Schizosaccharomyces pombe: one gene and its partners. Changing the gene in region 3 together with the main gene of any one other region gives a genetic interaction. Each region holds a gene or a part of one and is shown on either strand. Other genes may lie near its edges. The genes, in order: rad13, rad9, rad2 and res2.

Region 1 (9,270 bases), on a different chromosome or scaffold from region 3:
TATGTGCGGACGACAGAAATCTGCTTCTCAGTAATGCTATTTGTATGCTTTTCAATAATATTTCCGAATTCCTGAAACAATACTCCCGGTTTTACCGCAGCAATTGCTTTATCCAAAGCAATTCTCGTATTTTCTACAAGGCAAACGAGGTCAGGATTTGCTTTTGCTTTATCTCCAACATAGTAAGTCTCATTTAGGTCACCATGAAAACCGTTATGGTAAAGGGAAACATCAATGTTTACAATATCACCATCCTCAAGTGGCCTTTGATCTGGAATTCCGTGACAGATGATTTCGTTCACAGAAGTACAAACACTTTTTGGGAACGCGTAATAGTTAAGGGTGCTTGGAAAACAATCACGTTCAATGCATGCATTATGAACAATACTATCAAGTTCATCGGTAGTTGTTCCAGGACGGACGGCAGCAGCGGCAGCATCAAGTACCTCTCTACCAAGTCTACATACTTTACGCATACCTTCCTGCTCCTTGGGTGTCAATCTCTTCAGTTTGAAGCTTCGACCTTCAATTTGCTCGCTACGAGAGACTCCTGTCTTCGCATAGTCAGGTCTTTTTATATGTGGAGGAACCTTGCGTATAGGCGAAAGCGGATAAACTGGTTTCAATGAACCTGCGAAATGAAATTTTGGGAAAGGATTGTAAGTTCCATCCTCTGATGAACAAATTAGAAAAACGCTTGAAAATAAAAGCTATATACTTTTGTTGTACGTACCTCTCTTTTCTACATTCGGTGGACGATGAAGATGTTTGTGAATATTCTGGATTACCTAGTGTTAATTTACGTTACACGAAATTTTCTTGTATTACCCAGCTGTTCCTGAAGCATTCCTTTTTTTTTTTGAATTAGTAAATACGTAAACTAACAGAAAAACTAAATTACCTGTCCACAAAAGTAAGATTTAACTCCGTCATTTAGACATTTGGGACATTGCAGTCTGTCAGCTTCATTATTACAATCTATACCGCAACAAATATGTTTTGCAATTTCAGTAGCCATATAAATACTTTGTCTTAAGGGTATCACTCGCCTTAGTTTCTAGACTCGAGAATTTCTAGTCACACTAGTGCTTCGTAGCCGTGAAGTACATTAATGTCGTTGGAACCTATATAACCCAATGCCACTCTTTAAAGTTATGATTTTTGCAAAACTAAAAAAATAACTTTAATATATGCTTTTCAGTTTTTAAATAAATAATTCATTTTTCTAATTTTAATATGAATTTAAATCATTAACTTATGAAAAAATATGGAAGTTTCACAATACATTCTATGATTAGCATACTGAATGGCTCCTAGAATGTATAATTTTATCTTGTTCTCTTTCGTGTATACTGCGTATGCTGGTATTTGGATCTCGCTTTTTTCTTTGCAGTAGTTCAGGTCCAACGGTATAAACCGCTGAGGAAGCGCTAACGCGAAAATCGTTGGCCTTCGAAATATCTTGCTCGTCACGTGAAAAAGGTGGTCTTGAAGCCTCAATAGGGTTGTTTGAAGATGAACGGGTTGTTGGCAGATTTTCTGGAAGCCTCGATACGGCCATATACACTGTTAAAACGATTAGAACCGTGAGTTGAAGCATTAAAAGTCGCTTTTGAAAAGATGATTCTTGATATAGTGAAGTAATTTGACTCTGAAAGTATTCATTTTCTGCAGAAAGAAGCTCAAGTTTAGCTTGGAGAGCAAACAAAGACGGCTTAACGACACTTTTCGACAATTTCGAAATTTCTAATTGAAGGGTCGAGTTCAATTCATGTAATAGCTGCGTAAAATTCATGTTTTTGGCATTGTGCTTACCATAATTTGTTAATATTTTTTCTACAATTTCATCAAATGCCTTCTTCCGTTCTTCTAAGGTAGAAAGACGCTTATTTATGTTTTTGTAAATGCTTTCCTGATTAGAAGGAAAGGTAGATATTTGAGCGGTACTGTAAGAAGATGAAGAAGATGGAGAAATATCGTTAAAAGAGCGAGTTGATGTTGCAGGATATGATTCACTTTTTCCTGTTTCATTTCCTATAACAACAGTGCTCAAAGACTTAGATATCACAGTAGAAGAAAGTAAGGTGTCTGTACTATTCAACTCGACTGATGGATTCTTTCTCACTGGTTTGCTTTGAACATCGGTATCTTCTTCGTCCACAAAAATAGGACTTTCTTGAGGCTTCCGGATTTCATCTGCTTTAATAGCGCTTCCGTCGTTCACTTTTTGTTCTAAGAAGTCTTCATTTGCTTCTTCAAATTCTTCTATCATAGTTTTTCCATAAACCCTAAGTAGGCTTACAGGACAATAAAATTCTGACCCATAATGAGTTAAAAACTCTATTTTAAGATACTTCGCCCAAATAAGAGGGTTCTCAATATGAAAAGATTGAAGAGTCCTTAGGTTTAAGGCCGTAAATGTACCCAATTCCATCCAAGAAGACTCGTATTTTGGATATTTACCGCTTACACTGACCTTGAAATCACGAAATATACTTGAAAAAAATTCGAAGTTGGCAATTTGAACTGTATCGACATAAATATCCTCACAAAGTTCAATTACCACGAACTTGTTTTCAGCGGAACATTTGTTCAGCATATATTTGTCTTTGTTTTCGGTCAGAATCGAAGAAGATCCGACTGCTTCAGGATTTGTTTTAATGACAGCAGCAGCGCAGTCAGTTGAAGCAAAGTTGAATCTTTTTTCTTCTGAGAATGCAACAGTCTTTTCATCTATATTTGAATCAATTGTAGCTGCTGCTGAAGTAGAGGAACCATCCTCAGAAATTGGTAGAGTAACCGAAGAACTAGTAATAATATTAGTATCAATAACTTCCGTTACAGAATAGTTTTGCTCTAGCTTCTTTGAGGATGAAATTGTAGACGTCTCGTTCACCAATGGTGGGCTAATTGAATCTATAAATTCGCTAGTACTTGTTCCATTGGAATATTCATATTTTGACAAAAAATTAGAAGAAATGGTATCACTTCCATTCAAACTCGTTTTTGTGTGAAACGAAGGTTCCTGGTACTTATTTGTGGGAGTGAAATCCCATGTTGTAGGGTTGCTAGCTTCTTTTTCTTCAGATTTGGTAGCAATCACAGAAAGGTACGCATCACATACCAAATTTTCGTTATGCGTATCTGGTGACTTCAAACACAATGCCGGATATTTACACCAATGACTCGTTTGTGGAGAGCAGCAGCATAACCGAAATATAATAAAATAAATTAAAAAGGCATTTCCAAATGCAGACAATCTTCTTTTGACCATATGATTTAGGCAGCCCTATCAGTTTAATGTGGTAATTGGCTCAAGTCAAGTGCCACACACTAAAGTGTTAGCATCAATCATCGCACATGCCCTTGTTTTATCGCTTTGTTGGTAAAACATGTCTTTTATAACGATTTTAATTAAAAAAGAAGAAAAAGGGTAAAGAAAAAGGCTTGCTTTAATCACATTTCTTCGTATAATAATCAAAAATAAAGTCGTCTACAACGAAACTTCTTGACATCGCATATAATATTTTGCAATGGGGGTTTCAGGTCTTTGGGATATTTTAGAACCGGTAAAAAGGCCTGTCAAGCTAGAAACACTTGTTAACAAACGGTTGGCAATTGACGCTTCAATTTGGATTTATCAATTCTTAAAGGCCGTACGTGACAAAGAAGGAAACCAGCTGAAAAGCAGTCATGTTGTAGGATTTTTTAGAAGGATATGCAAACTATTATTTTTTGGGATTAAACCTGTATTTGTTTTTGATGGAGGAGCGCCGTCATTGAAACGCCAAACTATCCAAAAAAGACAAGCCAGAAGACTCGACAGGGAGGAAAATGCCACGGTCACGGCCAATAAACTTCTGGCTTTGCAAATGAGGCATCAGGCAATGCTTTTAGAGGAAAATAATAAAAAAGCTACTGCATTGGCAAATGCCTCGGTTCAAAATGAGAGACAAATGCCTTCATCTATGACATTGGATAATTCAGAAATTAAGCCAGTACTTAATCAAAGAAAAAATTATTTGAAGCCTGATCCATACCAACTACCTGAAATGGACGTTTCGTTTGATAAGTTAGGGTCGAGTTACGACCCTCGAATTATGTCCCAGGATGAGCTTACACAATATGTCTCTAGTTTTACTAAAATTGAAGATATAAATTTATTTGATTTTTCAAATATTGATTTTGACTCTGAATTATTTCAATCATTACCCGATACGGATAAATATAGTATTTTAAGTGCAGCAAGATTACGCTCTCGTTTACGAATGGGTTTAAGCTCTGAACAACTTTCCGAGATGTTTCCTAATAGAATGGATTTCTCTCGTTTTCAAATTGAGAGACTGAAGGAACGTAACGATTTAACTCAGAGATTAATGGACTTTACTGGAATGAATGAGTTTGGACCCTCTAGAGTAGTAAGTGAAAAAAACCGAGAATATATTTTAGTAAAAAACGAAGGTGCTGAAGGTGGATGGGCTCTCGGTGTTATCTCAGGATCTACAAACAATGAACCTATTATTATTGATGATGAGGCTACAAAACTTAGCAGCAATCTTATAGACGAAGACGAGGATGAGGCATTCTACGATGTGCCTTTACCTAGCCGATCTCATAGCATGAACCCTAGAGAATTGGTAGCCGCTAAATTAAAGGAAATAAAAGAAAATTCATTTTCGGAAAATCAGCAATCAGATGAAGCAGATTATAATGTTACTGATGATTTAATACTTCAATTAGCAACCCAGCAATCTCTAGAGGAAAACAAAAAATCAAAAGAGCTGTTTAGTCTTTCGGCTTCTGAGTTTGATAAGTTGAATAGCGAGAAAAAGACGTTTGAAATTTTGTCGACCGATATTCCTGCAGAGGATTCAATGAATTCACTTCTTAACGACGAGGAAAATTTGAAACTTGAACATGTTGGAGATGTTTCCAATGATTCATTAGCATTCGCGGAAAAAAAGCATCCTGAAAATGGGACTTCAATTTTTATGGATGCCCTTCCATCTGCGAGTAGAGAGAAAAAAACCAATGATTTAATTGATCCTTTACCTTTTCAGCCTATGGATTGGGGAAAGTCTATTTTTTTCGAGAAATTAAAGAAACCAACTGAAACATTTATGGATTCTAAAACTGATATACCAAGTGAGGCACCGGATAATTCTAAACTTGTGGAAGATACAAATTTACATACTATTAATGCAACAGTTAATATTGAATCCGATTTAGACGCTGCTAAACCTGGAATTGAAAATCCAATTATTTCACCTCTTCTTCCGGTAAAAGATGATGAAAAAGATTTAGACTTACGTGAACTCAATCCTTTGGAACCCTTTGAGAATATGAAAGAACAAGCTGATGATGGCACAGTTACCAACCCATTAAATGTTTCTAGTGATAAGGCCATGTCAGTGTATTTATTGAGCTCCGAAAATGCTAAGGATACTGGGGATATCAAATCCGAATCAATTGACGCTGTTCTTCCTACTTTAGAGACCAGCAGCCCTTCACTTAGCATTCCAACTGACTTTCAAAAAGAAGCCTCTCCAAATAAAGGAGCTGCTGCCTTGAGTTCGAAAGTAGAGCCTGAAGTGGTTGAAAAACTTTTAGATGAGGAAGAAGAGGAAATGATTATCAGGATGGCAGAAGAAGAAAAGGAATATGATCGGTTTGTTTCAGAACTCAATCAACGACATGAAACTGAAGAGTGGAATCAAGAGGCCTTTGAAAAAAGGTTGAAAGAGCTCAAAAATCAAAAAAGGTCTGAAAAACGTGATGCGGATGAGGTCACTCAAGTAATGATTAAAGAATGTCAAGAACTTCTGCGTTTATTTGGCTTACCATATATCGTTGCTCCTCAAGAAGCAGAAGCCCAGTGTTCTAAACTTTTGGAGCTAAAGCTGGTTGATGGGATTGTTACTGATGACTCAGACGTGTTTCTTTTTGGTGGAACTCGGGTATATCGAAATATGTTTAATCAGAACAAATTTGTCGAACTCTATTTAATGGATGATATGAAAAGAGAATTTAATGTGAATCAAATGGATTTAATTAAGTTGGCACATCTTTTGGGAAGTGATTATACTATGGGACTTTCTAGGGTAGGTCCAGTTCTTGCACTGGAGATTTTACATGAATTTCCTGGTGACACTGGACTTTTTGAATTTAAAAAATGGTTTCAACGTTTATCAACTGGACACGCATCAAAAAATGATGTTAATACGCCAGTAAAAAAGAGAATTAACAAGTTGGTTGGAAAAATTATTTTACCATCAGAATTTCCTAATCCGTTAGTTGATGAAGCTTATCTTCATCCGGCCGTGGATGATAGCAAGCAATCGTTTCAATGGGGCATACCCGACCTTGACGAGTTACGCCAGTTTTTGATGGCTACTGTGGGTTGGTCAAAACAACGAACTAATGAAGTTTTACTTCCGGTTATACAAGACATGCATAAAAAGCAATTCGTGGGTACACAGTCCAATTTGACTCAGTTTTTTGAAGGTGGTAATACTAATGTATATGCGCCGAGAGTTGCATACCATTTTAAGAGTAAACGGCTTGAAAATGCTCTTTCATCTTTTAAAAATCAGATTAGCAATCAAAGCCCAATGAGTGAAGAAATTCAGGCAGACGCAGATGCATTTGGTGAATCTAAAGGATCAGATGAACTACAAAGCCGTATTCTTAGAAGGAAGAAAATGATGGCAAGCAAAAATTCCTCTGATTCAGATTCAGACTCTGAAGATAACTTTTTAGCAAGTTTAACTCCGAAGACGAATTCTTCTTCAATTTCTATTGAGAATCTACCTAGAAAAACCAAGCTTAGTACTAGCTTACTAAAAAAACCCAGCAAAAGAAGAAGAAAATAAGTTTAATAAATTATTTATTTATTTGTTTACTTAACTGGTTGTTCCTATAAAAGAAGTTACTGTAATTTTTTGTTGAGTAAATTTTTTTGAGTTTTCCTGCTGTAACTGTGTTTAGACAAAGTAATTGAGCAACATAGCTTATATTTTGTGATTTATTCGTGTTTTGATTATTTACAATTTTTCTTGCTCTTTGTTACCTTACCTAATGTCACTTTCTACTACAACCTACTTAGCAGCAGTAAAGTAAAAACGGAGAAACAGAATATTTTTCGAAATGTTAAGTACAAAAATTGATGCGGAAAATGCGGAAAATGCCGCCGAGGTAAGCCTTGGTTATTATTTATTTAATAATACTTACAGATTTTAGATTGAAATGCAGGTACGTGGTTGTAGAAAGTATTTAGTTTTGGTAAAGCATGTACTGATTTAAAAAATTTTAGTTTGCAGTAAAAGCTGTTGAACAGGCTCGTAAGTTGAGCAAAATATGATGGAATAAAAAATAACAATTTAGAAATATACTGGAGTCTTTTGGAAATGCGCAAGGGAAGCGAGTTAAAGCTGACAAAGTAAGTATATATTTACATCTTTAATTTAAAGTTCAAATTGCTTACTATTGAATAGATACGATGATGAGATTTTTGAAGATTTAATAAACACCTTCCCCGAGTTTAAAGACCCTAAAACAGCTTCTTTTGTTAATGAGGATGAAATGAAGTCCGCCAAAGGAAAAGCTGCCTGGCGTCCATTTTTAATGCGCTATGAAAAGAAGGTTGACGATTACAATTTTGGTACTCTTCTTCGTATTAAGAATACTGATGAGTATGAGCAAGAAACGACTATTTTTGGTATGTACTAGGAATCAAATTTAATGGTCTAAGAAACATGGCCATTTTTTAAGTGCCATTTTTTTAAAAAAAATCGTTTATGCGATCCATGAATTTCCATATTTTAATGTTCTATTTTATTTAGCTAACAAGTCTTAGTCCCTCGTATGCAATTTTTGGCCTACGAAATCGCCCGTAATAGATACGGTTTGAACGATTGGATTAAAAAAGATTAGACCTTGTTAATAAATATTACAACTCATCCAAATTTTTCTGAAGGAAGTATTTGTACAAATGATTGCTCCGTAGTTAGATAACATATACATTGGTTTTTCCTAATGTACAATTACAATTCAGAATAAAATCAAAACAAGTGGATGAAGGTCATATTTCCTTCTCTTATAAACGTATATCAAACAAAATTCATAGTGCTTGAGTAAGAAAATGTTATTTTTTCTAAAGTTACTAATTGAGAATTGTGACAAGTAAACAACAAAACCAAAGAGACCAGATTTCCTATGCTAATCAGAGTGATGTTTACAATTAAATCCGTCCTGATTATTCGACGTTTTTTTTTTTTCTAACAAAGTGACTCACAACTTGTTTAGATTTCTAGATATTGTGTAAGGAAATAATTTTTGCTAAAAGTAAACACTTTAAAGAAATGATACTAATAATATGAAGGACTGCAAACTTTATATTTGAGTATAATAATTCTTATAATTATATGAGAACAAAGTGCATAGATTTACTTCAGTGCAAACACAGATATAAAATTGTGTCGAGCTTTATGTTTCTAACTTCTAATAGCGAATCTTTAACCCATTGAGCATTTCAATTATGTAGCACTATTTCATACGTAAGGGCTGCATACTTATTAACTATTTTTTTTCAGAAATCTCAACTTGAATTTTACTAATTCATGTATTTACAGTTAGCAAGATGCTTCTTTTTTTTCGTAATCATTTGAGATGTAAGACGCCGGTTAAGAATTTGTGGGATAAACAAAAGAAATTACGAGGACCACTTACTTAGTCTATAAGTTGATTTTGCCGACCATAGTAAAGGTAACTGCATAAAATTATTGGTATTTAATTCTACCTTACAGAATCTCGAGAATTACTATATACTTAAAAAGAATTTCATGTACTTTTTCTGCAAAATAATTACAAAATATTGATGAATTTATTACTGGTCAATAAACCACGAATCAGTATACCCACTAAAAGCAAAATTTCGGTTCGCTTGTAAAAATAACAAAAAAAAAATATTATTATTAATAATAACAATGAGTTTCGAAAGTTCAGAATTCATTTGAACGAAACAATTGCGTATTTAAATTTCACAATTAAGCAAAATACTTGAAGTTATCAACAAAGGGTCCATTCTGCGTTTCAGGTGCATTTCATATTCTTTGACTTTTTATGAAGCAAATGCGAAGTTACACAGAAGCAACTATTTTTCAAGCAAGTTTGTTTGAGCTCACACCTAATTTGAATATATAGATTAGATATAATTTGTTCATCTTGTAATTTTACTTATAGATCAGAATGCTTTGTTAAGAATATAATCAT
Region 2 (7,547 bases), 3.7 Mb from region 3:
ATGCACAATTCATTCAATGTTTATGAATGAGCACTTTGAAAATGGATATTCCATGAAAGATAGATAATAGAAAATCGGTATTAAATGTATTTGATTTTGTAGTCTTTCATCTATCTGTCTAATAATGGTTTGCAACATCGATGTTTATGATATTACAAATTGTTTTTAGGAACTTTTTTCTTATAGTTGATATAAAACTAATATAATAGGGTCGAAAGCGATTCATTTTAACTCATCGATTAATTCAAATTTTGATGTGTTAGTCTAATCCTGGATTTATTTACATGGGCAAAGATTTTTATCAAGGACAAATAGTATTTCAATGCCCAATTCATTTGGTTCCAGATTTTTTGAAAAACTTTTTTTTAAATGTTTTTATTTTCTTTCACATATACTCTGTTACCGATTCGATTTAAAATATTATTGAGCAAAAGCAGTATGCAAGGGTATTGGAATAATATTGACAAAAGCAAGGTATGAAACTTTAAAAAAAACAAATTAGATTTTATTTTATTTTTTTAAGTATAAGAGTTTACGTCTCGTTCTTTTACAGCAGCACCCCATTTTCGAATCGTATGTGTAACGAAATTTTTGAATTTAATTGTAAACATTACTTAAAATCAACACTGTTTTAAGATATTTTTTTGCTTTTTAAAAATAAGCAACAAGTTAAATAGAGACCGCTTTTATTGGAAACAGCAAGCATACACTTACCAAAACTCAACTCCTATTCTTATAACAGTTTTAGAGAGACATAATACTCGTTAGCATAATACACAGTCAAACAATAAAATAATAAATTGGTAATTGTTTAGTTACATTGTCTAGACAGAAAGAAGCAAGATGTGGGGAATTTCCGAGTTTTTACCTTGAGCTTTAACGAACAATTTTTAGCCCTTTAAAAATCGATACTTTAGTCGGTTGCATTCTCTACGTCGTTTTACTAATATAATCAACTCTCGTGCTGTGTTCGTTTTTTCAACTTTTGGTTGCTTCATAAAAACCATATTATTTATTTCAAACAAAGTAATATAACCTCGTCTGTACTAGCTGAATCCGATAAATGCCTTCAAACTTCATTCTTATATTTATTTCATACAATGATAATTTTGCTAACCCACACCCCTTCACTTACCCAGTCCCAGACACATCAAAATTTGCTCAAAATGGGTAAAGGTAAGTTCAATAAGATATTTTTAGGTTCTAATAAATCTTTAGTTTCTTTAAAAGATGAATTGGCAGGGATGCTAAACCCTCAACCGCAGGGTATGTTATTAACGAAAAATTCCGGGATTCTTACTCACATAAATAGAAAGAGACCCTGAAGCTTTAGAGGACGCATTCTCTGATAGAGAGGACTCTAGCGAAGAAGAAAACGATACCTTAGGGAGAGAACATTATGTTGATGTTAGGTATGTTCAAAATTTTTACTTTTGCGTATTTGAGCTTATACTAATGTTTCATATTTTATAGTGAAAGTAAATTACGCTCAAAACAGGCTCCTCAGTTAGACCCAAAATTTAAAGGAAGAAAAACGTCTCGCCAGGAATTACTTAATAGCGGTTCTTTAAACTCTCAATCTTCATCACCATCTGAAGAAGAAGATTCGGAGGAAGACGAAAATGATGCAGTTTCAGAAGATCACGAAAATTTTTCAAGCTCAGAAGCTTCATCAATTTCTGAGGAAAATGAAGATGACGACCAATCTTCTGCCATTCCTGAAAAAGACATGGATCGTTTAAAAAAGATTATAAATGGAGAGAAAAAGCTATCTGATCAAATTCGTACATCCGCCCTTGAAGACATGAAAAAGGGTTTAGCTTTGAAGGAGCAGATGCGTTTTTACGATAATGTTTTAGATACTAGAATCCGTCTTCAAAAAGGATGTAGTCAACTTCTTTCTTCCAGCAACCAACTTCAAGGTGATAAAGTAGAAGCCCGAGATGGTTTAGTATCTTTTATTCAACACACTTTACAGCTGAGGAAAAACTTACTTATTGACTCTGGAGTGGAAATTCTTGACAGTAGATCAAAAAGAAAAGAGAATCCTGTTAGTCTAGAAGAAATTGCTTTAGAAATGAATAACCTTGACGACTCTTTGAATGAGTGGAAAAATGATACTTTAACCAAATGGCATAATCGGGTTCAAGCAGTGCAAGGGATTTCGCAATCTAACAAATTCAAGGCTCTAAATCAAAGTATTGTTCAACAAATCGAAAATTCTATGATTAACAAGAAAGATTTGGTCGAGCGCACTAGAATTGATTACAGTGACCCTAACAACAAAACTTTCAATCCCGAAATTTACAACGACACGGATTTTTATCAATCATTATTGAAGGATTTCATTAATTCTAGAATGGCAGACTCTACTCGAGATGGCACTGTTCGTTGGATGGCTACAAAAAAGCAAAAACAGAAGAAAGAAAACGTTGATACTAAGGCATCCAAAGGTCGAAAAATAAGGTATCACGTTCATGATAAATTACAAAATTTTATGGCTCCCATTGAAGTGACTGTATGGCCGGATGAACAAACTGAAGATTTGTTTAGTAGTCTGTTGGGTCAACAATTAGATTTATCAGAGACAGCTAATGATACAAATACTTCAAACTTCGTGGAGAAGGATGATGAACTGATCTCTTCCAACGACGGATTTTCTCTCTTCGGTTGAAAATAAGCTTGTGCGTGTTGGATAAGCTTCACTATTTGTCTTTTTTTTAATATACGCAAGCTGTGCTAAACATTTAGGGTGCATGATTATTTTTACTTACAGTATATCTTTTTTCGGTTTTAAAAAGGGCATTCGCGGATTTTGGTTCTATTATAATATATTTCGTTTACAATTATTTAGGTTAATAAAAAAATTTAACATATATATGGTTACATAGATGGTCACAATGTCGGGCAATTACAAGTAATAAAGGGTTATCTTGGGCTGAAGGTTTTAGTTTTTGTGCACTTTAGTATTTTAAGCATAAAAGTATGTACGTTTATATGATGTACAGTTGAACTCTTTCTGCTGCAAATTAAAAGCAGCTATAAGTTTCTTCTTATTACAATTCATTGTGTATATACAGATTATTTTGCGATTGATGTTGGCCATTACACTTTCGTACAAATTTCGGCGCGCGTGTCTATACTAATATAAGTGCGTTAAAGCAGGTGCTAGAAAACACCACATTATAGATTTACCTCTGTATATACCAGTTTCAATTCTGTTTGTCAAAAATTGTCGAGATTTATTTACTTCTATTAGCATGAATTAAGAAATTAATCGTCATATCGACTAGAAACTATCGTTATTCGTTCAGCATTCGTCTACATCAATTCACGTACTGGTATATAAAATGGAATTCACTGTTTCAAATGTTAATCTTCGGGACCTCGCAAGGATCTTTACAAATCTTTCTAGAATCGATGATGCTGTCAACTGGGAAATTAACAAAAATCAGGTGTGTTGGAACTTTTTTCAAACCTTACTAAACATTGAAACTAATTGGTAAAGATAGAGATTACATGTTTAAATTCTTCTAGGTCAGGATTTAGCATGGTGACTTTAAAAAAGGCATTTTTTGACAAGTACATTTTTCAGCCGGATTCCGTCCTGTTGACGGGATTGATGACTCCTACAATACGTATTCGTACGCAAGTCAAGCCCATACTATCTGTGTTTAGAAACAAAATCTTTGATTTCATCCCGACTGTCGTCACTACCAATAGCAAGAACGGTTATGGCAGTGAATCTGCAAGCAGAAAAGATGTGATTGTCGAGAATGTTCAAATCTCAATCTCTACTGGTAGCGAGTGTAGGATTATATTTAAATTCTTATGCAAGCACGGTACGTAGTTTGTCCGTCTTATTATTTTATTTGCTCTACTAACGTTTATTCATCAAGGAGTGATTAAAACATATAAAATATCATATGAACAAACCCAAACTTTACACGCTGTTTTTGATAAATCTCTTAGTCACAATAATTTTCAAATAAACTCAAAAATTCTAAAAGATTTGACTGAACATTTTGGTCAGAGAACGGAAGAGCTTACAATTCAACCACTTCAAGAACGTGTTTTACTTACAAGTTTCACAGAAGAGGTCGTACATAATAGAGATATTTTGAAGCAACCTACCCAAACAACTGTTTCCATTGATGGTAAAGAATTTGAACGCGTCGCACTTAATGAGGGAGTCTCTGTTACCCTTTCTCTACGTGAATTTCGTGCTGCCGTCATTTTAGCAGAGGCATTGGGAAGCTCGATTTGTGCATATTACGGTGTCCCAGGAAAACCGATACTTTTAACTTTTGCAAAAGGGAAAAATTCCGAAATTGAAGCGCAGTTCATTCTTGCAACTGTAGTTGGATCAGATGAACAAGAGGTGTCATCTATGATGGGAAATAGATGGCAGCACAGTTCAACACCAGCTTCTCTGTTCAATTCAGTAGAGCGCAACAACTCATTGACTGCTGTAGCACATAATCCCCCTGGATCTATTGGATGGCAAACTGATGTATGTAATTCGGCTTTAGTACTAAGTACAATAATTTATTAACATTAACTTTATAGCAAAGTGACTCATCCAGAATGTTTAATTCTGCGCTTGACCGAAGCGACGAAACTAATGGCATTAAGGAGCCATCAACCACAAACGATGCTGGTCAATCATTGTTCTTAGATGGTATTCCTAATGAATCCGAGCTTGCTGCTTTTAATAATGATGTGAACGATGATGCCGAATTTGGACCAACGCAAGCTGAACAAAGTTATCATGGCATTTTCTCTCAGGAAGACTAGGAAAATCCTTCTTTGCTATGGTGTGTAAAATTATGAACATTTACAGGTGCTTGTGACAACCTCATAAAACACAGCACTCATATTATATAATGTACAATATTTATCAATAATTTAGTTTTTTTTAACTACAAAATTACCCTCATCATACGATACGTTACATAGTAGTTCTAATAAATCAATAAGATAGTGAATAATGTAACCCAATTAATTAAATTCCAATCCACGGCCTATAAAAAGTCTAATATACATTTTTGCATTTTCATCTGAATGCAAAATTTAAGTCATTACACGAACTCAAAGAAAGTTTTAAACTTGTTTCTTAATCAATTCGTTAATTTCTTCTCCACAATAGCCAGCCTTTCGACCCTCATTAAAATGTTTGACCTTTTTCTCCATCAAACTGTGTTTAACTGGAGTCAAAGTGAATGGCCATAAGAATTTAGTAACTTCCTTAAAATGAGAGCCTACATTGTAAATTTCATGAATGATATCTTCAATGGAAATAACATCATATTTGCCCAAGGCCTCCTCAATTAATGCATTATCAGAGAGAGCAATACGCTGACCATTGATCTTACCAAAGCCACGTTTATAAATGAGTTCACGAACAGAATGTAAATTGGGAATACCATACATAACATAAGGTTCGACGATTCGAAGCATTTGAGCAACGGCTTTATTATTTCGCACAAAAACGGCATTGTTAATTCGAGAAAGGCGTAATAAGCGCAGAACTTTGCGAATTTTAGGAGGCATATTCTTGACTCCGGCAATTCGAATAACGAAAAGAAGTTTTGTTTCATCAGGCACGAAAATGTCTCCTTTATTTTTCGCAGATCGATTTAACCTAATCCGTTCTCTTTCTCGTTGGCGGTAGTTATTAATAAAAGTCTCAGCCCTTTTGAAGGTTTCTTTACGATTTTTCTTCTGGGCCTGGAGTAAAATTAGTAAAATGTTTTTAACAATATATAAAAATTGATGAAGTCAAAGGTTTAAATTTAACCAATACAAAATATATGAATCAGCCGAAAGATGGTATTTTGGAGCAGCATCGTCGAAACTAGCAATCCAAGAGTGAAAGGTTCATCTTTTTCATATAAATATGTATATTATGGATATTTCAAACCTGTAGAACAAGCAATTCACATACCTCTTTTTTGGCAATAGCCTGCTCAACACGTTCTTTCCGAGTACGCTCATTGACCTTGCGCTTTTTTAAAAGCACCTCAGGTTCAAGCATAGTCTGTTGTACAACCGGTGCATCCTCCGCCATTTTATCGTCTGTTAGTAACGAGTAGAGGGCACGTTGGGACTATAGACAGACGAAAAATTATAGCTATGAAATGTGACTGCTTTAAGACACATAATGTTCTTCGTTACAATCCGCTAATAAGCGCAAAAAAATTTTGAAGCGATTTTCAAATAGGCTTTGAAATGTGTACTTAAAGGTAAAAAATGGTGTTTAAAAACTATGGCAAATTTAATTTGACAATATAACAAAAATTGCACAATAGTAGATTGCTCCTTCCATATCGAAGCATCTCTTTCTAATAACCAAGACCAAACTTTATCTAATTGACCTTGTACCATTGAAATTCATGTTTAAAAGATATACAAACGATTTTAATAGGAATATTATCAATGTTGAATGTAATCACCTGGTGCTCAAACTCCTCAGGGACGTGGGATATGGAGATGATAAATTTTGCACAACATTAATCGAAACAGTGCGAAAACACATGAGAAGTTGAATAATTGTATTATTAGCCCTTAACTTCTTAGGGTAGCCGTTTAAATGTCATTCATCCTAAACTGAAAAAAAAAATGTGACATTGATGAAATATAGTTTTCCACACGCAATTTATGTAAAATAATCATATACATTTATAAAAATCAGAAAGCAATTATTAAAAGGAAACAATTGATAAACACAAATTTACATATACTGTAAGAAAATGCATGAAAGCCCTTGCAATTCAAAATGAAATTACAAGGTTATTCTATCAATACGACTGTACGACTTACAAACTCAAGAGACTACAATATTTACCACGCTCTTAAACAGCCACCAATGTTATATGCAAATAGGAATTTTAGTGAAACTACTTAAAATTTTTTAAGTGAACTAGCTTCCACTTCTGCTACTGGATACAATACTGTTTGCGAATGTACATAAAAAGCTTAAGTTACCCAAATTCAAACAAAATATTTATACTCCAGTTCTGCCTGATCCATTAACTACAGACATTTTACTTCTTCTTAGCCTCGGCCTCTTCAGCACGCTTCTTTTGGAAAGCAGCGCGAGCACCGGCATAACGAGCATAAGCACGCTCGTTGCTAAGGGTAGAGAAAGCGTTGAAGTTCTTGGCTTCTTCAGTAATGGGCTTGGCCTCCTCAACAGCTTCTTGAGTGATGGGAAGAACAGCGGCAACATCAGTTTGCTCAGCACCAGAGACATCAGTAGCATCTCCCTTCTTGGGTTGACCAGCCTTACGGGGGAAAACAATCAAGTGAGCAAGGTAAACTTTGATGCGCTCAACGTTACGTTGTAAGGACTCCTCAGAGCGGTTGCGACGGCGGTGGTCAACGGGGATACCGATGGTAGAGGCAACACGACGAGAAACACCAGCAGCCTTGAGCTCCTCAAGAGTAAAACCACGACCAGCACGAACCTTCATGTTGTAGCGGATGGTGGGAGGCTTAACGGCGGGACGAATAGCCTCAACGGGACGAGGAGCGATCTTGGCAGC
Region 3 (7,373 bases):
CAGTACAGGTTTGTGTCCCTCTAGTCAGCCAATTCAGAGGCTTTTTTGGACCAAACTTGGCAGTTGAATAAGGGTTTTCCTAGTCGTTCATTCACGTCGTTATGTGCTTCGCATATCCATTCACACAATGATTCTCGACTATCTACTCGAGGAGAATTTCCATATTTAGCCATCCAAATACGTAAATCTTCTGCACAAGACCAACAAGGATAAAATTTTGAAAAATTGTACAGAAAACTGGACATATCATTTTGTTGAGTGGGTGTTGGATTTTTTGGAAAATTGGCGGCCATTGCATGTAAGAACGTCCAAGTACTCCTTCCAAGTTCAGCGACATCTGGAAGCCTGGGAAACGATACGCTATCTGGGATTGCATTGGTATTGCAATCTATAGATGATTGTTTGCTTTCAAGCTGGGTATTTGACTTTACTTCAGGGACAGTGCTACTATTAGGTTGTTGAGCAACATTTCGAAAGGAAGAAAATATGTTACATGTTTTACAAGGTCTCCCGTTTTCGTCGTAAATAATTCCTGTCTCCTTATCGCGATATCTTTTTCCAAAAACCATTTTAACTTGATTGAGAAATAAGGAACGGACAATACCAAATTTTTACCTACAAATGATTCTGTCAGTAGCATTCGACAGCCAAATATGTATGATGCTCAATTTACAAGTTAAATTCATCTACTTTTAACCAAATAATTATATAACGTAGTACTTCAGCGCCGTTGATTACTAACAAAGGCATTTGAAAACACCACTGTTAAATATGGAACTGTTGCGAATTTCGCTGTTTTTCTTGTCCAAAGGCTTATGGCTTAAAATCGTATTTATTAAAACTTGTAATAAGCTAATTTGAGTTGTCTAGATGTAAACATTTATCACGTAAAACTAGTCCTTTAATAAATTGAAGATTTGAACTATAAAGCGTACTGTGTGAAATTAGGAAAGTATTATAAGTTTATCGCATAAAAGTTTGAAAACCATACCTAATTTTAGGAGCCAACCCTGAATTTATTTTTTTTTTTATTCTTATTTTTTTTTTTGTAAGACTAAACATAATACATTCAAACCTAGTGCATCAATAATCGAGAATAAAACTCGAATAACATTTTGAACCCTTTTTGCAATGAACAAGATTCATTCTTTGTAATCAAATGTAAATTCGAAAAGTAATGTAATATTAAGGAATGTTTCCTTAACTCGATTTGGGATCAACAAATAGAGGTTCAACTTTGATTATATCACTGTGCATACTATAACATGTATTTTTTTAAGTTTGTTTTTTCAAAAGGTTACAGATCGATTTACTAAGCTACAAAATTCAAAAAACTTAAAAAATTCAATACTTGCAAAGCAAAGAAGCAGAAAAAAAGATCCAAAAAAAAAGGATTACATTTATTTTGTTGAATTTATTATTTTTTTTAAAAAATAAATAACTTAACTAATGAATCACTATTTAGCAATTCTCTTTAGATTTGAATCCATAAAAATCATAACAATAAGCGAAGCAATATAACTGGTATTTGCTTATAAAATGAGCGATTCATGCAAGCAGAAAGTTCTTTAAAAACAAAAGAAAACATTAAAATAGATTTAGCACTTCACTTTGGCGTTATAATATCTCCATGTTTTTTTACATGATCACGATACACTCGATATGGTAAAACCAGTGTATACTTTGGCATAACAAAATCATCTCCAACAAACGATTCATCCTCAACATATGTTTTAAGAAATTGTAACACTTCGGTTTGATCAGCTTTAGTGAGGTCGATGTATATATACAACAAATATGAAAATTGGAAAATGGTATTAGCAGTTGCTTTATAAACCACAAACGATTGGTAATATTGTCTACCTTTGTTATAATAGTCTATAACATCAGGAATAACACTGTTTTTTTCCTTTTCATTAGAGACATCTTCTCCTTCGTAATCGGCAGGTGCCAATGTTAAGTATGGCGAGCTTTGTTCAGACATTGTTCTTGCTTTCACAGGTAAATTGAGGTTGCACTGGGATATGAGTATACTGTAAGCAAGGCGCGCAGCATCTCATATAATATTCTTTCAACGAGCCGACATTAACTAGAATTTGCCAACGTAAGATCAGAATGACGTTTTGATCCGCACGAAATACGTCGGTAAAGGAACCTTATTAGTAGAATATTGCAATATTGTTCGTTGTCTGCATACTACACAAGCGATACCATAAACTGGTTACGATTATATTTTCGACGATTCAGTAGCAGATATGGCGAGTTTCAAATAATACTCTCTTGGTAAAATGCCTATTATCCAACATTGTTCCATGAATCAAGGCTATTGTTCTATTAAAAATATTACGTTGAGCAATTCAAGCGGCTTTCTCACTACGGTATCTCAGTACCGTAAAACCACTGGTTTATTCTCATAAAAACAACCTTATGTTACACAGACTTACATCTAGCCAAGTCAATAGGGTTTCGGTAAAGTTCCAATGTACTTTTCATCCTATTCCTTATCCGGAAAAAGGAATCGATCATTTTTCCAGAATTTCTGATGGTACATTACCTTTTCGAGATCTTTTCGTGGTAGTAAACTGCGAGGTGATTTACATTTTACAGCCGTGCTGCCACCAAAACCACAAGAACCTCAATTTGGTAATCTTAAAATTTCTAATTTGTTCCTTCTAGAAATCCTTTTTTAAAAGCTATAATACATGGGAATTTTCAGTATAAATTGGCTGGTCCCTTTCCTTGTATTTACATTCTTTGGTCGATCATTCTTTATGGAAAAGTAACATGTGATTTACTGAATCGACTCTTTGACGTGGATACTACTGCTGGTAGCTAAGAACCTTTGTGTGAGTGAGCAAAGTAAAAACTGCTCGATTTTGAGGAGTATAATACATCTAGCAAAAATTGAAAATTTAATAAGAAGCTCTAAGCTAGTTTTGGAGAAAGCGTTGTTCGGGATCTCGTAATATACATAAATAAGTATATTTGCTAAACGATGGGAATTAAAGGTATGTTACATTTAACGCTAAAGAGTTTATCTTTTACTCTCTCCTTTACTTAAAACTAATCTGGGTTAGGTTTGGCTCAAGTACTAAGCGAGCATGCCCCAGCCAGTGTCAAACATAATGATATTAAAAATTATTTTGGACGGAAAGTGGCTATAGATGCGTAAGTTGAAAGACTAAATAGAAAGCGAAAGTCTCAGTTGACTTGGCAAAGACTGTATGGCTTCTGATTTTGTTTGTAAATATGGGTTAAACACTATGGTGTACAGTTTTTATTGCTAAAGAGCAAAGCTCTATGTCTTAACTCGAGACAAAGATATGATACAAACGAAATATAGAATAAAGGATGAATAAATTTTCACTAACAGTGACTCGGTTAAATTCATTGCTCAAGGTATTTTACATCATTTCTTTACTTTGTTGGTTCTTGAAGTTGCAAACACTAATAGGTCAAACTCTATTCAACTGATTCTTTCCTTTTCGAAGGGTTGATTTATAAAGTCTTCTTGAGGTACTTTATTAATGCTAATTTCGTATATTACAGGTCAATGAGTCTTTATCAATTTTTAATTCAAGTTCGCAGTCAAGATGGTCAACAGCTAATGAATGAACAAGGCGAGACTACTAGTCATTTAATGGGAATGTTTTATCGTACACTCCGAATTGTCGATAATGGAATAAAGCCTTGCTTTGTCTTTGATGGAAAACCACCAACATTGAAGTCAGGGGAATTAGCTAAACGTGTGGCCCGACATCAAAAAGCACGAGAGGATCAAGAGGAGACAAAAGAGGTTGGTACAGCTGAAATGGTGGATCGGTTTGCCAAACGTACGGTCAAAGTTACTCGGCAACATAATGACGAAGCAAAACGTTTACTAGAGTTAATGGGAATTCCCTTCGTTAACGCACCCTGTGAAGCAGAAGCTCAATGTGCCGCTTTAGCCCGTTCAGGAAAAGTTTATGCTGCTGCTTCTGAGGACATGGACACATTGTGCTTCCAAGCTCCTGTACTTTTGAGACACCTGACATTTAGTGAGCAAAGAAAGGAACCAATTAGTGAGTATAACATAGAAAAAGCATTGAATGGTTTAGATATGTCGGTGGAGCAGTTTGTAGACTTGTGTATTCTTTTGGGTTGTGACTATTGTGAACCTATTCGGGGAGTTGGCCCCGCTAGAGCCGTCGAGTTAATTAGGCAATACGGGACTCTCGATCGCTTTGTCAAAGAGGCGGATCGATCAAAATATCCTATTCCGGAAGATTGGCCTTATGAAGATGCCAGAAGACTGTTTTTGGATGCAGAAGTACTTCCTGGTGAAGAGATTGAGTTGAAATGGAAAAGTCCCGATGCAGATGGCATTATACAATTTCTGGTTAAGGAAAAAGGTTTCAATGAAGATCGTGTTAAATTGGGGATCAATAGACTAGAAAAAGCCTCAAAGACAATTCCACAGGGTCGTCTTGATTCCTTTTTTAAACCAGTCCCTTCTTCTCCCAAAAAACCTGTAGATACAAAGAGCAAAGGATCAGCAAAAAGGAAAAGAGATTCAAATAAGGGTGGTGAAAGCAAGAAAAAGCGTTGAAAACGAAGTCATGTAATTGTTATTAATCTAAAAAAAAAACTTAAAAAAAGCAAGACGCATGTAGATAAAACTATACTACGCTATAATAATAGTAAATCTGTTTAATGCATGACTTTTACGTAAAAATAATTAGTCTAAGGAGGTAATTCTGATCATATAAGCTAATAATGGTATACAAAACTCGTTTCTAAGTAATAATATGCCAAAAAACAATCTGGCTGATACAACTCAAAAAACGAAAAGCAGTGGATTCGGACGATGGATCAAAGATCTTTAAAATAGTTCAATTTCTTGTGAGCCAGATTCTTGCATTGAAGAAGCGTTCTTCAAACTAAGAAATATGTTCCTAATTGAAATTAGCAAAGGCGAAAAAACTAGGAGCAAAAATGCTTTATGTCTCTTGGAAACAACATACCAAAAAATAGCAACCGTACAAGCAAATGGCATTTGGTATTGTAAGGGCATTAGCCAAAAGTTCACAGTTTGAAAGAAGGGCCAGACCATATAATTAGCCTTTAAATGTTAGCAACAATACAACAGAACCATTTAAGAAAGAAAATTTAGAAATTAAGTGTACCTTTAAAGTGGGCCAGAAAACAGCTTGAAGTTTATCGTAGGCGCCCCTGAAACCTTTGCCCTCAGCAAGAGTCTGCGGTTTAGTGTTAGTATTGATATACATAAACATGCAAGTTAATTTTTACTTACCATCCAACTGAAAAAAAAGGCAGTACCGAATGGAGCAAAAACAGCTTGATCCAATAACACACGCTTCACGACATTAATAGCGCCTTTCTCTATTGGGAACTTAGCAGATAGCAAACGCAACCACCGAAATTGAAATGGAGAAATAGCAAAACCAAAAGTAACAAATTGAAGAACCCTTTTAATACTAGGTATTTCAGGATGAGTGTTTAATCTCACGCCATCCAAACCAATCATCGCATTTTTGTTTGTTTGGTATATGGTCAAGCCTTGGGCGACAGCATCGGATATTCCACCCAGTGTACCAGCAGTTAGACACATAGTCATAATCGGCGCCTTTTCAAAAAGAGCGTTATAGCGGGTTGCAAAACGACTAAACATAATGGATAATGAGGGACAAAAAACTCAATCAAAAGCAATTCAAAATCTAACGACCCAATGCTAGTATAAATAATAAATTTTATTTTCAAATTTCCTTTTTAGGATCAAAACTTCTAGTTTCTTTTAGTTTATATCACAAATTGATGTAAACTATGGAATTGCGAGAAGTGTTGGTAGAAAGCAGATTCGTAAACGTAATAGTGAAGTATATAAATGTTCGGTCAACGCTTTATGTTTTCCCTGGTTTAGATTTTAATAGTTGCGAAAAATCAATTTTTTTTATTTATAAAATTGTCAAGGTTCAGTGTTGCTCTACACTCACACTGTAGCACTTATGAAATTGTAACAGAATCATCCACACCTTCTGCAGTCATCTATTTATACTAATATTATCTCACTGTGAGATCTATAGCATCACTGTACATCTACAATTGAAAATTCGTTTATTGAAGAAGCGGGCCCGTGGGTGAAATTGTAGTCAAACTAGTTCTCTGCTTCAAGAATTTTTTGTAGCAAAAAAACAGCATTATACAACAAAAATTGACGTCCGTTGTCTCTTGAAGCAGGAAACAAGCTCCCAAATGAACAAAGAAGACGAAACAAGACAATCATAGCAGATCAATAGTCTTAGCGCCCAAAACATTTCCCACGCCCGAATTTGAAATTTTTAGGATTCTTATTGGAATTAAACAGTAATAAACGAACTTACTTAAACTGCATCGTTGTGAATAAGTCTATATTTTTTACTAGAAGACACTACATGCCTAAACTAAAAGTACAAAACAACGTGTGGAAGCTACCATAAACGAAAATTCAGACAAGCTAATCGTATAAGCAAGACTAATGTTTATATAATTTATTAATGAAGATTTATAAATATGCTAATACTTTTCTATTAAAGGTTAGCATACGTTTCAAATAAAAAAGTTCTGTGCAATAGCAATGTTCAGATAAATAAAAACTTCGCGTACTCGTCAATGTAAATACTCCGAGTGAGCTGGGTTTAACGAAGAAAATCATCATGGTAAAAGGCTTGCTTTTATTTGCAACTTAGGATTCGACATACCATCAATATTAACCTATTTATATTCAGACAATGAATGACTAAATCTTATGGTGTTGGTGGAGTTTACGAGGGCGCCGCCTATTTATACTAGTAAATGGGATATTAGGTTGTTAAAAGATATAACGAATAAAAAATTCAAATTACTAATCCAATCAGTAAATGTGACTGTTAAATTCGTAAACAAAAAAAGCAAGGCCATGGAAAATAAGTGACTGGTGGTCATTATTAGTTCATGGTCTTTTTAGTTGCTTTAGATAATTAATATGGGCAAAGATGCCATCATAAACAACAGCCACAAAAGGAGATAGTATTTCTCTAGTTTACCTTCCTACTCAAAAGCTTATCCACACTCATAAATACTAATGCAATAAGTATCAATATATGTGATACGATGAGTAATATGTAAATATAGCATTGCTAATTAAAAACTAAGACAATAAATGAAAAATATTTTATATTAATATGCCCTGACCCAAAATAGTTTTTTCTAAAAACGAACGTAATCGAGTATTCCTTCATAAGTTATATTAATCAAATTTAATTTTTTGGCCAGCTGGCTCAACAATAGCAGCGGAGGATCGCTGAGCCTTCGCTAATGCTGCACCGGGACGGACAGAACGCGGGTCAATCTTCCTA
Region 4 (8,111 bases), 4.7 Mb from region 3:
GACGATGTTATCAACACACATGTTCGTTTCCCGACCTTGACTGCTAATATTCGTCAAAGGCGCGGGAGAAAAGTGGCCATGAATGTTCCGATTTTCTTCGATAAAAATACAATTAAACCATTTCACGATCCTACCGTTCCTTGGGATAGAAATTTGTTTCCTGAAGATGCAAATGCACGAGATGGTGCAGCGTTAGACAATCATATTTACATGGACAGTATGGGTTTCGGTATGGGATGCTGTTGTCTACAAATTACATTCCAAGCTAAAAGTTGTGATGAAGCTAGACTTTTATACGATCAGTTGACTCCTATTACCCCCTTGATGCTGGCATTATCTGCCGGAACTCCAGCATTTCGAGGCTATTTGGCTGATCAAGATTGTAGATGGAATGTGATTGCTGGTGCTGTCGATGATCGAACCGAGGAAGAAATGAAAACTGTGCCAAAATCAAGGTATGATTCTGTTGACTTATATATCTCGAATGACAAGCGCAATTTACCGGAATATAATGACGTCCCGGTCGTTATAAATCAAGATTGCTACGATAAGCTAATAAAAGATTGCATTGATGAAAGATTGGCTAAGCACATGGCTCACATATTCTCTCGTGATCCTTTGGTTATTTTCAGTGACAGCATTTTACAAGACAACAGTGTATCCAATGCTCATTTTGAGAACCTAAACTCAACTAACTGGCAATCTATGCGCTTTAAACCTCCTCCACCAGGTAGTGATATTGGTTGGCGTGTAGAATTTAGATCAATGGAAATTCAAATAACTGATTTTGAAAATGCGGCATATTCAATTTTTGTTGTGATGCTTTCTCGTGCAATTCTATCCTTCAATTTGAATCTGTACATGCCGATATCGCTAGTGGATGAAAACATGAAAGCTGCTCATGCTCGTGATGCCATTCATCGTAAAAAGTTTTGGTTCCGTTGCAATCCATTTCCTGACGCAAGTACTGATGATGAATCTGGTCAGTTCCGTCAACTTACAATTGACGAGTTATTTAATGGTGAGCACCGTGAAAACGGATTCCCAGGTTTAATTACCATTGTTCGAAGCTATTTATACTCTTGTAATCCTGATGCCAAAACTATTTGCCTAATTGAACGTTATATTCGCCTAATTTCTCAAAGAGCAAATGGCCAATGCTTGACTGCTGCTTCGTGGATACGCAATTTCATTACAACTCATCCTTCTTATAAGCAAGACAGCGTGGTCAACGACGAAATTAATTATGATTTAATTAGAAGAATAGCAAAAATTGTAGATGGCGACTACGACGATACGTTACTTGGAAAATGCTCATAATGCAGATGAATTCTGAGTGGAATATATATAAGATTTTTTTCTACTTAATAACATATCTAAAATTTTGGTAATTTAAATTCCTTTGCAATTCAGTATTACAAGTGTAGTTCTTTGGCAACTGAGACTTCCCATTGATTCCTTTCATTAAGTGAATACTCATTATTTAATTAGTGCTAATATATATTCAGTAACTACATAGTTGATTTTCTGTATTGCCCCACCCTTCCCTATTGTTATGTGTATACGCAGGTAGGGTGAGCGAACGCAATGCATGCACCCTTTTAAGAGTCCGCGCTACGCATTTTAACTGCCTTTTGCTGTAATGGCTCCACGTTCTTCCGCAGTACATGTTGCCGTTTATTCTGGGGTTGAAGTCTATGAATGCTTTATTAAAGGTGTCTCTGTGATGCGCAGACGCCGCGATTCCTGGTTGAATGCTACACAAATCTTGAAAGTGGCTGACTTTGACAAACCACAAAGGACAAGGGTTTTAGAAAGACAAGTACAGATTGGTGCGCATGAAAAAGTACAAGGTGGATATGGAAAATATCAGGGTAAGTTGTCTACTGTTACGCGTTGTGACATGATTTGCTATCTTTGAACAACGCGAACAATTGAGTGTTTACTAAGCCAAATCGAGGTATTTTAATACCTTTTTGTATTAAATATCTCTATGGACGCGTCCTCTAAATGATTGACGGTATTAACCAAACTATAGGAACTTGGGTTCCATTTCAGCGTGGGGTCGACCTGGCCACAAAGTATAAGGTTGACGGAATAATGAGCCCAATATTGAGTCTTGACATTGATGAGGGAAAAGCAATTGCTCCAAAGAAGAAGCAGACCAAGCAGAAAAAGCCTTCTGTACGTGGCCGTAGAGGCCGTAAACCGTCGTCACTTTCTAGTAGCACTTTGCATTCCGTCAATGAAAAACAACCGAATTCTTCTATATCACCAACAATTGAGTCATCTATGAATAAAGTGAATTTGCCTGGTGCAGAGGAGCAAGTTTCTGCAACACCTCTGCCAGCGTCTCCTAATGCACTGCTATCACCAAATGATAACACTATAAAACCTGTTGAAGAGTTAGGCATGTTGGAGGCACCGCTTGACAAATATGAAGAGTCACTACTTGACTTCTTTCTTCACCCAGAAGAGGGACGCATTCCTTCCTTCCTGTATTCGCCGCCCCCGGATTTTCAAGTTAACAGTGTTATTGATGATGATGGCCACACTTCTCTTCATTGGGCATGCTCAATGGGACATATAGAGATGATTAAGTTATTACTGAGAGCCAATGCTGACATTGGCGTGTGTAACAGACTGAGTCAAACACCATTGATGAGGAGTGTTATCTTTACCAATAATTATGACTGCCAAACTTTTGGACAAGTGCTTGAGCTTCTCCAGTCTACTATTTATGCTGTTGACACCAATGGTCAGTCAATTTTTCATCATATTGTGCAATCAACCTCAACTCCTTCAAAAGTTGCAGCGGCCAAATACTATTTGGATTGCATATTAGAGAAACTAATATCGATTCAACCATTTGAAAATGTTGTGAGATTGGTAAATCTACAAGATTCAAATGGAGATACCTCTCTATTAATTGCTGCTCGAAATGGAGCCATGGATTGTGTAAACTCTTTATTAAGTTATAACGCCAATCCTTCTATTCCTAACCGACAAAGACGTACAGCTTCCGAGTATCTTTTGGAAGCTGACAAAAAGCCACATTCATTGTTACAGTCAAACTCAAATGCTTCGCATAGTGCTTTTTCATTTTCCGGAATAAGCCCTGCTATTATCTCGCCATCATGCTCATCGCATGCTTTTGTTAAGGCAATTCCTTCAATATCTTCGAAATTTTCTCAATTAGCAGAGGAGTATGAATCTCAGCTTCGAGAAAAAGAAGAAGATTTGATTAGAGCGAATCGTCTCAAGCAAGACACGCTTAATGAAATTTCCAGAACTTATCAGGAATTGACCTTTCTGCAGAAAAATAACCCCACTTATAGTCAATCTATGGAAAACTTGATTCGAGAGGCCCAAGAAACTTACCAGCAGCTTTCGAAGAGGTTACTAATATGGTTGGAAGCACGACAAATCTTTGATTTAGAGAGAAGCCTCAAGCCACATACTTCATTATCTATTAGTTTTCCTTCCGACTTTTTAAAAAAGGAAGACGGACTTTCGTTAAATAACGATTTTAAAAAGCCGGCTTGCAACAACGTGACCAATTCTGATGAATATGAGCAATTAATTAATAAGTTAACTTCTCTCCAAGCTTCCCGCAAAAAAGATACTTTGTATATTAGAAAATTGTATGAAGAACTAGGAATTGATGATACAGTTAATAGTTACCGTCGTCTTATTGCAATGAGTTGTGGCATCAACCCTGAAGATTTGAGTTTGGAAATACTCGATGCTGTGGAAGAAGCATTAACCCGAGAAAAATGAATCTTGGAAACTTTCATTTACATCTTGTCTTAATGTTACGTTCTTTATTTAATGATACGAGTTATGATAGTTAATGATTTTATCCATGACACTCACTGTCAAACTGCATTTATCAACGTTATCATACTTTGATAGAAAAACACGAGTTATTTTATATATTATTTTCGAATGGAATCAAGTGGAAAAAACATATATTGCTCCTTCCTAACAAAACTATTATGTTACTTATTTATGCGCAGCTAAAACAATCTACTATTGTAAAATGATTTATCTCATTTACAGCGCGTGCTTCCATTCATGATTCATCCTTTTTGCATTCGCACGTTAATGATCATCTAAAGGATACCAAGTTACTGAGCTTCACTTTAATTTGAGGGTCCTGTTCAAATAGGTAAAAGAGTGATTAATACAAATAATCAATTATTTAATTGAAAGAAAATCTATAGCAGTATTTCTCGTAAATACGATATAAAAATATGTAACCTATAAACGCAGAAATCGCGTTTTTTTGAATACATTTATTATGTTTACTTAGCATACATAAATTTAATAACGCTGTTGGAATACACAATTTGAATTAACGTACTGGTTTAACTAGAGGACGTTAGTGCAGCCTTTCCCCAGCAGCTACCATACTTACTTTAGTCGTGTATATGTATAATTGAAAATTTCAACAATCTTTTATTTTTGTTCCTTCGTTGAAATATCTACTAAAATATTTTAACTTTGATAATTAAGTATTGCATAAGGAAATGGATGCGTTGAAACTTTTGACAACTAATGTCAAATTTAAGAATAAAGTACCTCAACCTTCTATAAAAGAAAAAGAAGCAAAAAAATTACAAGGTATTACTAAGGGAAAAGCTAAAGTTACTGGTAATAATCCTGTTGATCCAATTGAAGAGTTTCCGGAAGGAATACTTTGTGAAAACTTAAAAAAACAAAACATAACAGAATGTACCACAATTCAAAGATATGCCATTCCAACGATAGGTTCTAAACGAGACCTATTGGCATGTGCACCAACTGGTTCTGGAAAAACTATTGCATATCTATTCCCAATTTTGCAAAAACTTCAGTTACATGTTCCGGGTGGATATAGAGCGATTATCGTAGCGCCGACTAGAGAACTGTGCGAGCAAATATATAGACAGGCAGAAAAGCTGTCTTTTGGAACTTCATTGAAGATAATTGAATTAAGTAAATCTAATGAAAAAATTCAAGAAAAAGCGCCCAAGCTCCGGGAAAAGTATGACATGTGCATAGGCACCCCGATGAGATTAGTACAAGCAATACAAACCGGATTGTCCTTTGAAAAAGTAGAATTCTTTGTTATGGATGAAGCTGATAGACTTTTTGAGCCTGGCTTTATTGAACAAACTGATCATATTCTAAGTGCATGCACCAGCTCTAATATTTGTAAAAGCCTTTTTTCCGCTACTATTCCATCACGCGTCGAAGAGTTAGCTAAAGTCGTAACGGTTGATCCGATTCGAATCATCGTTGGTTTGAAAGATGCAGCCACGGATAGCATCGATCAGAGACTCTTGTTTGTTGGTTCGGATACTTCCAAAATTGTGATTTTGCGTCAAATGATTTCAAATGGAGAGTTAAAGCCTCGAGTCGTAATATTTGTTCAAGATATAGAAAGAGCGAAAGCATTGTACACAGAACTCTTATTTGATGAAATTCACGTTGGTGTCATTCATGGAGAATTACCACAAGCCAAGCGCGAAGAAGCACTTGCGAAATTTCGGAAGGGTGAAATTTGGGTTTTAATAGCAACAGATCTTCTTGCTCGTGGTATCGATTTTCATGGTGTAAAGATGGTCATCAACTTTGACTTTCCTCAAAGTGTTCATAGTTATATTCATCGTATCGGTCGAACTGGGCGTGCAGGAAATACAGGACAGGCCGTTACTTTTTTTACAAAGGAAGATGGTGAATATATCAAGCTTATTGCTGGTGTAATGCGTTCATCAGGTTGCGAGGTTCCAAACTGGGTTATGGCACTTCCTAAACCTAGTAAAGAAATGAAAAAGAAGTTGAAGAAGAGTCCTCCTAAAAGAAAGAGGATTACTACTAGAGCTTCTTACGACAGACAAAAGGAACAGCGTAAGAAGGAGTATATTAAGAAGGTAAAAAAAGAAGCCTCTATCAAAAAGCATAATGAAGCTACTGGAGACAGTGGACAATAGATTGTTGCTACTGAAAGTATTTATATAAAGGGTTTTGGGTTTTAGTTTAGTTTTTGTGTTCATTTAAAAAAGTCATATTCACTCCAAAATACTATTGCTTTGATATAATAGAGCCTTATATTTTTTAGCAATCATATTATTTTCTTTTACTTTTATTTGTGGTAAGAAACTTTTATGTTACTGTGGTACCTGACATATCTAACTTTACATCTTTTGTTTAACAATAATGCAGCAAGTGCTGTACGGCTTTTTAAAACTGATAAAAATCTACACGAGTACAATTAATGTAGGCGTAAACAGGTACAAGGAGATTATTTTATTTTAAGTACCCAACAGGGTTTTTGCAATTGTTATTTTAACTACAATTTGAAAGCTATATTACGTTGCTGACACTGTTTTATAATTTCTCGTTTTCGAAATCACGAGTGTGTTTCAGTAAATATTATATTGTTTTAACTTACTTTATATTGTGTATCATTGAAATTACCTATGAACGGAGAAAAATTGGTGTTACTTAATTGGTATATGGGAGTAGAAACTTCATCACAACCTTAACTTACCGAATCCCATCTCTTTCCAATTCAGGCTATTTCGAAGTATAATGTTTTCCACAAGTCGAATTATCTCTCGTATTAATTACAATTTTTTAAGGAAGAGTCACTACTCTACTAAAACAGTTGCTGAACAAGCCAAGGGTCGTTTCACTCCCTTAATCCAAAAATTATCGGGTATTTTAAACATAACGGTTAATTTGTTTAACTAACTTTTTCAATTTAGCTGTACAACAACCTATTATGTACTGGGCAAATGTTTCGAAAGAGCTGGTTCAACAAGTATATCATTCTCAAAAAATTGCACCCCCTTCCAATACTCATGTAAGCAACTATTTGCTACAAAGAACAGATCCACTAATTTCTCTTTTAGTCTCCCTTCCTTTTTTGGAAAAGTCAATCCTCTGAAGCATGGGGCCGCAATTTTTTCATCGCAGTTGAAATAGTTGGTATTTTCTGCGCTGGCCAGATGGTTGGTCGTAGAAAAATTACTCCATATCATTAAAAAGATGAATTTAATCTTTCATAAAAGCTTCTGATTGCTGGATACTTATGCATTTCAACTACTGCGAATTCATTTTGTCTCCAACATACACCAGGCTGTTCAATAAATGAGACTATTAATAACTATCTTTTGTTAACATATTAAGATGAGGTCTTTATAAAGCATTTCTGTTAATAGGGAAACTAAATTATAGGTCTTAGGTAGCAGGACCTAATTGTAGGCGTAAGTGTTATTACCCGGCACTGTATTGCTTGTTTTTCAATTTTGATTTTGAATAACCATTAATTTAATTGTAAAATCTACCGAAAGCAAATGTCTCATTTTCGCAATCAATCTTAAAATCAGTTTGTACTAATAAATAAATATTGCTAAATTGATGGAGTTACCTCACTGTCAATGAGCGATTTCGCATATTTTAGTTTCCACATCTCCAAACAAAATGGGATAATCCTACTACCAAATACTTTCTGCGCTACACCACCTTTAGGGGAATTTTTGGGTCTGACCTGAAAACATAATCCAAGAAAAAGAATTCAATGTTTAATCAACGCTTAGTACACACATCAAGGATAGCTATTCGTAATGTACAATACTTACGCTATAATAGTACATGTAAGCAAACTTAGGAATAGTCATTTATTTGCTAACGCTTCAGCAATCCCAAATCTTCAAGCAGTTATTCGTAAAAAATTGCTGGATTCCATGAAATCTAGGCAAAAAGATGTTGCGTCTACTTTAAAAGTACGTTGGAAATAAAACGTGACGGTCTACATGTTAAATTGCATCAGTGTTCAAGCAATGTGAAGAGGCTGTCAGAACTATGTTATCTATGTTTGTAGATGAATATGACGCTAACAAGCTTAGGTATTTCTCTCGGAAATCGAATATGCAAACAAGTCGAGTAAGCCAGTTACTACAGACTTAGACGTTCTGCGAGTACTTAAAAAAAACATAAAAAAGCGTAAACAAGCTATTGAACAGTTTCGCAAGGCTGAGCGTCTTGATCTAGCGGAAAAAGAAGAATCTCAGATTCAAACTTTACGACAATTCCTACCTGAACATGCTAGTAATATTTAA

Evidence for each region.
Region 1: mutations in rad2 (region 3) and rad13 impair growth when combined (synthetic growth defect), as found in Schizosaccharomyces pombe (2 studies listed by BioGRID, with this or other methods).
Region 2: mutations in rad2 (region 3) and rad9 together harm fitness more than expected from each alone (negative genetic interaction), as found in Schizosaccharomyces pombe (3 studies listed by BioGRID, with this or other methods).
Region 4: mutations in rad2 (region 3) and res2 together harm fitness more than expected from each alone (negative genetic interaction), as found in Schizosaccharomyces pombe (3 studies listed by BioGRID, with this or other methods).

The regions. Positions count from the first base shown.
Region 1 is NC_003423.3:2,670,621-2,679,890, reverse strand, and holds rad13 (DNA repair nuclease Rad13), read left to right. Parts: upstream 1-3,321; 5' UTR 3,322-3,533; coding exon 3,534-6,872; 3' UTR 6,873-6,901; downstream 6,902-9,270. Other genes in the region: methionine aminopeptidase Fma1, read right to left, coding at 1-673, 734-779, 829-849, 902-1,018; SPOM_SPBC3E7.09 (Sad1-UNC-like protein), read right to left, coding at 1,295-3,274; SPOM_SPBC3E7.07C (uncharacterized protein), read left to right, coding at 7,147-7,194, 7,240-7,251, 7,313-7,340, 7,384-7,438, 7,494-7,717, 7,856-7,932. UniProt on the Schizosaccharomyces pombe protein: Single-stranded DNA endonuclease involved in excision repair of DNA damaged with UV light, bulky adducts, or cross-linking agents. Essential for the incision step of excision-repair.
Region 2 is NC_003424.3:1,711,340-1,718,886, reverse strand, and holds rad9 (checkpoint clamp complex protein Rad9), read left to right. Parts: upstream 1-3,170; 5' UTR 3,171-3,350; coding exon 3,351-3,455; exon of another isoform or gene 3,456-3,508; coding exon 3,509-3,842; exon of another isoform or gene 3,843-3,899; coding exon 3,900-4,513; exon of another isoform or gene 4,514-4,569; coding exon 4,570-4,797; 3' UTR 4,798-4,967; downstream 4,968-7,547. Other genes in the region: bfr2 (traub family ribosome biogenesis protein), read left to right, coding at 1,167-1,176, 1,219-1,266, 1,313-1,412, 1,474-2,674; ribosome biogenesis protein rlp7, read right to left, coding at 5,104-5,730, 5,948-6,070; rpl13 (60S ribosomal protein eL13), read right to left, coding at 7,047-7,547. UniProt on the Schizosaccharomyces pombe protein: Acts in DNA repair and mutagenesis. Involved in promoting resistance to ionizing radiation and UV light, as well as regulating cell cycle progression after irradiation. Repressor of entry into mitosis that is activated by chromosome breaks.
Region 3 is NC_003424.3:5,386,884-5,394,256, reverse strand, and holds rad2 (FEN-1 endonuclease Rad2), read left to right. Parts: upstream 1-2,834; 5' UTR 2,835-2,995; coding exon 2,996-3,008; intron 3,009-3,077; coding exon 3,078-3,168; exon of another isoform or gene 3,169-3,345; intron 3,346-3,353; exon of another isoform or gene 3,354-3,549; coding exon 3,550-4,588; 3' UTR 4,589-4,671; downstream 4,672-7,373. Other genes in the region: erv1 (sulfhydryl oxidase), read right to left, coding at 21-569; SPOM_SPAC3G6.07 (uncharacterized protein), read right to left, coding at 1,607-1,984; SPOM_SPAC3G6.05 (Mpv17/PMP22 family protein 1), read right to left, coding at 4,862-4,934, 5,004-5,101, 5,166-5,237, 5,294-5,671; RNA-binding protein Rnp24, read right to left, coding at 7,265-7,373. UniProt on the Schizosaccharomyces pombe protein: Structure-specific nuclease with 5'-flap endonuclease and 5'-3' exonuclease activities involved in DNA replication and repair.
Region 4 is NC_003424.3:684,951-693,061, forward strand, and holds res2 (MBF transcription factor complex subunit Res2), read left to right. Parts: upstream 1-1,584; 5' UTR 1,585-1,642; coding exon 1,643-1,874; exon of another isoform or gene 1,875-2,038; coding exon 2,039-3,780; 3' UTR 3,781-4,229; downstream 4,230-8,111. Other genes in the region: glutamate-cysteine ligase Gcs1, read left to right, coding at 1-1,320; ATP-dependent RNA helicase Rok1, read left to right, coding at 4,533-5,978; atp20 (F0-ATPase subunit G), read left to right, coding at 6,580-6,706, 6,756-6,853, 6,903-7,034; mitochondrial aspartyl/glutamyl-tRNA amidotransferase subunit B-related Aim41, read left to right, coding at 7,617-7,775, 7,899-8,111.